Linked DNA regions of Notamacropus eugenii. The protein of the gene in region 2 purifies or fractionates together with the protein of the main gene of each other region. This does not show direct contact. Links are inferred from orthologs where the notes say so. Each region holds a gene or a part of one and is shown on either strand. Other genes may lie near its edges.

What was found. The genes of interacting proteins can lie anywhere in the genome.
Region 1: the proteins of RYBP (region 2) and TFDP1 purify together in Homo sapiens (affinity purification with mass spectrometry; 3 studies listed by BioGRID and IntAct, counting the BioPlex papers as one, with this or other methods). This does not show direct contact. The link is inferred for Notamacropus eugenii from reciprocal best matches to the Homo sapiens genes YAF2 and TFDP1.

Annotation. Positions count from the first base shown.
Region 1 is NC_092877.1:207,440,670-207,444,411, forward strand, and holds the start of TFDP1 (transcription factor Dp-1), read right to left. Parts: upstream 2,386-3,742; 5' UTR 2,201-2,385; intron 2,185-2,200; exon of another isoform or gene 1,948-2,184; intron 1,604-1,947; exon of another isoform or gene 1,336-1,603; intron 1-1,335. UniProt on the Homo sapiens protein: Can stimulate E2F-dependent transcription.
Region 2 is NC_092874.1:450,830,180-450,833,921, reverse strand, and holds the start of RYBP (RING1 and YY1-binding protein), read right to left. Parts: upstream 2,272-3,742; 5' UTR 2,057-2,271; coding exon 2,025-2,056; intron 1,512-2,024; coding exon 1,386-1,511; intron 1-1,385. UniProt on the Homo sapiens protein: Binds to MYC and inhibits MYC-mediated transactivation. Also binds to MYCN and enhances MYCN-dependent transcriptional activation. Increases calpain 2-mediated proteolysis of YY1 in vitro.

The DNA.
Region 1 (3,742 bases), on a different chromosome or scaffold from region 2:
TGTAAGATAATGGTTGGCAAAATATTGTATCTTAAGTCTAAACTGATACATTTCTCCCTCCAAAGCAAAGCAAAATGCATTCTGGGATATCAGGAACCTCCTCCCCCTTCCGATGCATACATGTATTCGATCCTGAAAGGAATCTACAAAAGCAACTTGGCTACTTCTTTTAAAAATAATTTATGGGACTAACGACATGTTATAGACAAATGTCAGTGTCTTATACAAAGGAAATTTACAAACTCTTACGCTCCCAGACTACTAACGATACCTCTAGCTCACCCCACTACAAACTAATGTCACAGGGTAACAAATATAACCATCTATACTGATAGGCAGAACAAGACTATGACGAACCTAAGACCCTCACCCCCACCACGATTAGATATGATGGATACAAGCAAACCCTCTAACCCTCACCCACGCACACGCACGCCAACCTATGCCCATGTCTATATATCCAGACTCAACCCATCCTTACACTGCCAGCACAAAAATGCACGATATATGATTCCCGCTAGCCCCCTTCCCCCAAAATATACTGAAAGGTGGAAGGGGAGGCCTTGCCCCCACTCCAGTCAGCCGCCAGCTCCACTGGCCCAGCCCTGAGCATGCTGAGAACTCTGACAGGTGTGCTTCCAAGGGAGCTCCAGGGTTAAAGTAACTGCTCTCAGGCCACAAGGCGAGCCCCGGTCCGGGATCGACTCCACAAGCCCCAGGTCCATCTGGGATCTAGATCTTCCTGACCTGTCACTAGGCCTCGGAACCACAGCCCGAGGAGGGCGAGTTCCCCCCACCCCACCCCCAGCACCGGAACTCGCAGCGAGCTCTCCACCCTGCTGTGCCATTTCAGCACCCAGGCTGGTGAAGGGGCTGCCCCCAGCCCCCTCCCCTGCCGGGGTGTCCCGCAGGGAGCTGGCCGGAGCAGGCCCCATGGACGGACACAAGCAGCAGCTGCGGCGGCGGCTCAGCCGCCTGCCCGCCCGCCAGCCCGCCCGGCCGGCCTCACCGGCCTGTGCCTCCCCCCCTCCGCCCCCCCTCCAGACCCGGGCACCACCCTGGCAACAGGCGCCATCCTGACCCTCCGCCGTGGGACCCTGCTCCCCAAAGGAGGCGCAGCGATGCTGATGGGGCGATGGGGGGCTGGAGAGAGGCCTACCACCCCTCCACCAGCTGGGCATTCCCCCCCACCTTTCTCCGTCCCATCCCCCGGACCCTTCCCCATCTGCAAAGGCAGAAAGGGGGTGAGCACCCCAGAGCCTCCGTCCACGCCGGCCCCCTCCCGTCTTCCCCTCCTCCCCGGAGCCCCGCATCTCAAGCCGGGGGTCAATTCACCTGAAGGCGTCTTCCTCCCCTCCTGGCCGCCCCCCCAAGCCAGGCCGGGAGCGCAGCGGAGCCCAGAGCCCACCACCAACTGCAACCGCTACAATGAGCAGGAGCAGCAGCGTGGGGTGGGGGGGTGGGGGGCAGAAGGATGGGAAAGGGGGGGAAGGCAAGGTCTACCCACTGCACATGTGCAACACACAGCACCAGGAAAAGAGACCCGAGGAGACACCAAGCCGTGTGCACGGCGCCCACACACAGGCGAGGCGAGGCGGGGGGCAGGGCAGAGGGGGGCCCGCCCAGGGGACCAGACCGGCCGCACGGGTTCCCCATCCCCCGCGGCTGGCCCTGCCGGCCAGCCTCCGCTCCGACCGCCCCCCCCACCCCAGGCCAGCACTAACTCTCCACACACACTCAAGTACCCGGCGGACCTCCGCCATCCCCGCCCCCGCTCCATCCTTCCCGGGCTCCACAAGGACCCCCCCCCATCCTCCCGCATGGGGCTCCAAACCCGGCTGCATCCTTCACCCCAGCCCCCACCCAGGCTGCAAGGCCGCCCCCCCGGGCCCCGCGCTGACGTGCACACGCGCCCCCAGCCCGCGAGGCCGGCTCCGCGTCCCACACCTGGCTCGCCTGGTCCCGGCGCCCGCGCCGCGGGGGGTGGGGGGCGGAGATGGGGAGCGGGGCAGCGCGGCCCCGCCGCTGCAGCCCCCGCGCACCCAGGGAGGGAGAGATCACGGGGGAGGGGAGTAGATCCCGGCAGCTCGGAGGCCGGCCTCGCTTCCCCCGACCCCCCTCCCCCCCGACTGCGCTCCCACTCCTCCCCACAAAATGGGGAGAGTCGGCCAAGGGGGGGATCAAAAAAATTGAAACTTACACTTTGTACTGGGAGCGTCAAGCCGGCGTGACGTGCCGGCAGCGCGGTGACGTGCGGCCACGAGCGGCCCCATAGAGACGGGCCCAAAGTGTCAGTTTCACCCCCGCGCGCTCCGCCTCGGGGAGCCGGGCGCGCCTGCGCGGCTTTTTCGCGCCTTTGGCTCGCTCCCTCCCTCGCTCCCGCCAGTTCTGCTCCGCCCCCGCGCTGGGCTCCCGCGGAGGGCTCGGTGTGCGTGCTCGCATGTGGTGGAGTGTCTGGCTCCGCCTGGGAGAGCGCGGGAAGCGCGCGGCGCCAAAACGTCAAAGTGGGAACCTTGAGCCCGCCGGGGATCGGCCGGGCGGTGCGCTTGGGGGAAAAGGAGGAAAAGAAGCCGGGGTGGGCTGCGGCTCGGCGGGGCGCCCCGGCCGACGGCCCCGCCATCCGCAGAGCGCGCCCCGCGGCCCGCTCCCACGCCTGCGGCCCGCGCGCCGCCTCCATTCCCGACAGCTCCGCGCATCCCCCGGGGCCGCCCGGACTAGCCGCAATGAGGTCATCTGAAAGGAGGCGCGAGGAGAGCGGCGGGCCGGGCCGGCCCCGGGCCGACGGAGCTGCGGCCACGTGCTCAGCTCCGCGGGGGGCCGGGGGCCGGCGCGGTCTGGCCTCCCATAAAACCGGGATAGAAAAGGCACCCGGCCCTGGCAGGTGCGGTGAGACGTAACGAAGGTTTGCAGAACACTTTGGGGTTCTAGGCCCGAGGCGCCGGGCCCCGGGCCCGCTTCGTGACTGCCCCGCGCTCCCCCTTACCGGCGGGGTGTCACCATTGGCCCGTTTGGGGCCGGCTTCCCGACCCCTCCCTCGGGTCCCCGGGCCCTTCTCGGGCCCCTCCGCCGAGGACGGGCGTGGCCCACGTGGGGTGTGGTCACTGTCTGACAGGACGGGGCTGCTTGGCCTGGCTGGACTGCGCCCGACCCCCCATCCCCCTTTCGTTCAGCTTCTGTGTCCTTTCCTGACCGACCCACCGTGTTCAGGCCTTTCCTCTATTAGGAGGAATACGGTTGGCTTCCTTCTCCACCACCTCTCTCCAAGGTCACTGATGCCCTTGACCTGTCAAGGTCACTCATCCGCCAAGCCCAGTGACTCTTCTCCTTCTTCATCTTCCTCCACCCCTTCCCCAGGGGCGCCGTGCACCTCCTCTACACTCCCTGCTCTGCATTCACAGGGGTCTCTTCTGCTTCTGCCTCCCGCGGTTGTTCGTTGTCATCTACCTTTTCCGATGTAATAACTCAGACTCACAGTACTTGGATGAATAAGTGCCTTCTCACCACCATCAGACACGACATCCAGGACAACCCAGGGATTCTGCTGGAGGCATAAACCCCAGGGAGCTCACCGACACAAAAAATCCACACACGCCCCAAAATATTCATAGCAGCAGTTTTCGTGGCAACAAAAAATTGGAAACAAAGTATCTTCCCCCCTTCAGCGGGTGAATGACCAATCAAATTGTGGAATATGAGTGAAATGGAAGGTTACTCTGCTGGAAGAAGCAACATACATGATGAA
Region 2 (3,742 bases):
TGTACTACACCCATCATTTACAGTAACCCTCAAAGTAAAACCACAATAAAGGTTTTTACATGTAAAGAAATAATCCACATGCTATTGCTTATAATAATAACGTACAAAATTTAATGGCATTTGACAGAAATCTACATTTAAGAAACTGAAAAAAAATATTCCTCCGCCTCAAAGCAAATTCAATCTAGAATAATATATTCCTAAAGTTATGATGAACACCACCAAAAACTAGGGAAAATCAGCTCTTAAAATAACCAATTTCAGTGGTCCACTTTTCTTTCTTTTTTCAAGGTGATTTATTTATTCAAGTATACTACTTAAATCTAAACTAAGTCTTAAGTTATAAGCTTAAAAGTATGCCCAACTACTTATGTTTAACCTCAAGTATAAAAATCAAAGCACAACATTACAGGCACTACATAAAGAAGAGTCTTTAATCATGAAGCCATGCAAGTTACCGAATGCTATGCATTTGAAATACTACAGTCACACTGGACTACCACCCAAACAAAACAGACACCTGGTAAAACGACCCACTTTTTGGCAATCCACTCCAAGTACCAACCCAGAATATACACAAACATCTGGGCATCAAATGAGGACCACAACAGTTTGAACTCAAACTCCAAATTATGATAACACTGCACCAAATTCTGTTCAAAGACAACAGGGAAGGAAACAAAAAACTCCGAAGCAACCACAGGAGTTTCTCCCAATTTTCTCTCACACACACAAAACCTGCACCTAGGAGAGCCCAGCTCGCCAGAGCCCGGGTCGGCACCGTTCAGGACTGGGTATGCCACCACCAAGAACTTTCCGAGCTGCTACTCCTGGCACAAAGCCAGCACGACAGTATTTACAGCCTGATCAGTTTCACCATGTTGCAATTTACAAGCCCCGACGCCGAGCCTTTAAAGAGCCCCAATTCAGCTGCCTCTCCGGCCGCAGCCCTTCCAAGTGCTGCGGCTTTTACGGGACGACAAGCGGGGTGCTCGGGGATCCTCCCGTAAAGCCTCCCTGGGCTTGGCACACACCCAACCGTTCCGCCCGTGACAAAAAGAAAATTCCGTTTCACTCCCCACAGACGTGTAGGAGAAAAGAAGTGCTTCCGTCTGTGAAGTCAAGGGCTCAGGCCCCTGCGCTGGTTCTCAATTTATGAAATGGGATAAAAAAAAAAAAGAATTGGAAACTCTGAATTATGACAATATTGGTCCAAATTCTGTTCACAGGAAACCGAAAAAAGCAGACTCTCCGAGCGTGCGCCCCACGCTCTCGACAGCAACATGAGTCAGGCACAGGTAAAAGGCACGACCGATCAACAAGTGCGTGCGTGTGCGTGTGCGTTGTGTGTGTGCGTGTGTCGGGGGCGGGGGGCCGCGGGGTACCTGGTGGAGGTGCCTTTCCTCACGTCACAGATGCTGCATTTAAAGGCTTCCGCGCTGTTCCTGAAGGTGCACACGCTACAATCCCAAAATCCCTCGTCGGCCGCAGGTTTCGCTTGTCTTTTTGGCCTTCGCGGAGTGGGGGGAGGGGGAGGGGTGGGGAGAACAACAAACACACGCGCGGGTGAGAAATCCCAATTCACGGGAGCGGCCCCCCCCCCGAAGTTCCTCCCCGGCCCACTCGTGGCGCGTGGCCCAGGCCCGACAAGGGCGGGGACCCCCTCCCGGGCGTCCTCCTCGGGCCTCGCTCCCTCCCCACCTGGGGAAGCCGTTCCCTTTGTCTGGGAGGGTCGGGGAAGAGGAGCCGCCATGGCTGCGGCCGAGGAGGAGGCGGCGCTCGGCCCCGCAGGCAAGCGGGCGGGCGGGCAGGCAGGCCGGCAGACACCGCCTCCCGCCGCCCGCCCCGGGCCGACGTCCATCTTAGCGGCGCCTCCTCCTCCGGGCCCCCCCCACCGCGCGCGCCGCCGCCGCCACGGCCCGGGCTCGGCGGCGGGGCCTAGTCGTGGGCGCCTCCTCCTCCCGCTGCGGCTCGCGCCCCCGCCCCTCCCCCCGGCCCCGGCCCCGAGCGGCGGGAGCAGGTACCTGGTCGGGCTCTTCTTGTCGCCCATGGTCATGGATGGGCTCTCCCCCCGCCCCCCCCTCCGCACAACAGGGGCCGCGCTGAGGAGAAACGAAACGCCGCCCGCCGCCGCGTCTCCGCCGCGGCCACCGCCGCCTGCGCCGTCCTCGCCGCCGCCGTCCTCCTCGCCTCCCCCCCCCGAAGCCGCCCGGGCTCGAGCTCCGGCCGCCGCCGCTGCTACTGCTGCCGCTGCCGCTGCCGCTGCCGCTGCTGCTGCCGCCGCCGCCGCTGCCAGTCTCCGGACGAGACTAGTCCCCGCCAGCGCCGCCTCCGCCGAGTGACTGACTGGGGGCGGGGTCGAGCGCCGCGCGTCACCAGCCCGGCGGACCAATGGCGGCGCGCGGCTCCTCCGACGAGGGGAGGGGGAGGCTCCGAACGGAGGGGGAGGGGGAGCGGAGGGAAGGGGGAGAAGCGGGCGGGGGGAGAGAGCTGCGGACGTGTGCGCGGTGGTGGGGGGGGCTCGTGGGTGCGTGCGTGCATGCATGCATGTCTGCATGCATGCCCAGGCCCCTTTGCTTGTGTGTGCATGCGTGTGCGTGTGTGTTTCTTAGGGTTCAGCCCGCCTCTGTGCTGTGTGTGTGTGTGTTGTGTGCGCTTGCACCGGCGCCTGGCCCTCCTGCGGTGCCGTGTGTGTGTGTGTGTGTGTGTGTGTGTGTGTGTGTGTGTGTGTGTCTGTTTGTCTGTGCATGTGTCCGTGCACGTGTCTGTGCGTCTCCGGACGCAGAGCTGTGTGTACATCTGTGTAGGGGACGTCTGCGTGTGTCCCCCGCCCCCCCAGCTCAGCATTCCCGGCCCCGCGTGCACCCCAGGCCCCCCTCCTACTCTCGTGTAAGCCAGGGCGCCCAAGGGGACGCGGTGGGGAAGAGGACGTAGCCGGGGCTTCGAGCGCCCCGGCAGGAGCAAGCCGAGACTCCGCCAGACTTGGGGAGAGGACGGACGGAGGGAGGGAGAGAAAGGAGTCGGCATGGCATGGCTCCTGAGGCGTGGGCTGTCAGGGACCCCCCGCCGAGTCCGAGCACGCACACGCGTGGGGGCCCTGGGACGCTGGGTCGGACCCCCACCCGGGTGTGGACGCCGCGCTGCCCCCAGAGCGCAGGGCATGCCCGCCGGGCCGTGCGTGTGCGCCCCTGGCCCCGCACCTGGCGGAGGAGCGGCCCGGGCTGGCCACCCTGGCCGGCGGCCGCCGCGGGGCCGGAGGGGATGCACGCCCGCGGGCAGGAGGGAGGCGAGGCTGCGCCCAGCCGGGCGGACGAGGGTGCCCTCGTTTGGAGGGGAGCGGGGCAGACACGCCGGCCTCCAGCGCTCCCTTCCCCTAACTTCAGCCTGGTGGAATCCCCCGCTCTGCCCTCCCCGGGCACTTTCTGCACCATCCTGGTGGGTGGGCGATGGGCAGGGGTCCGTCTGGTGCTGTGCTGCGCCCCTTCGATGCTTTTATGTTTTCTGGGAAAGCTTCTCCTTAAGGGCAGTTGGAGCCAAATCATTTTGTAAAGGGGCAGGGGGAAATTTCTGGCTGGAATCCGTGGGGTCGGGAAGATTCGGATCCAGGTTCTGCCTCTGATATGGGGGTGCCATGGAAGGAACGCAGGATCTGGAGGCCAAGGCCCTGAGTTTGAATCCCAGTGCAGCTGGGTGACCTTGAGCACAACCTCCGGACTGTAAAATGGAGATAATAATACCCAGG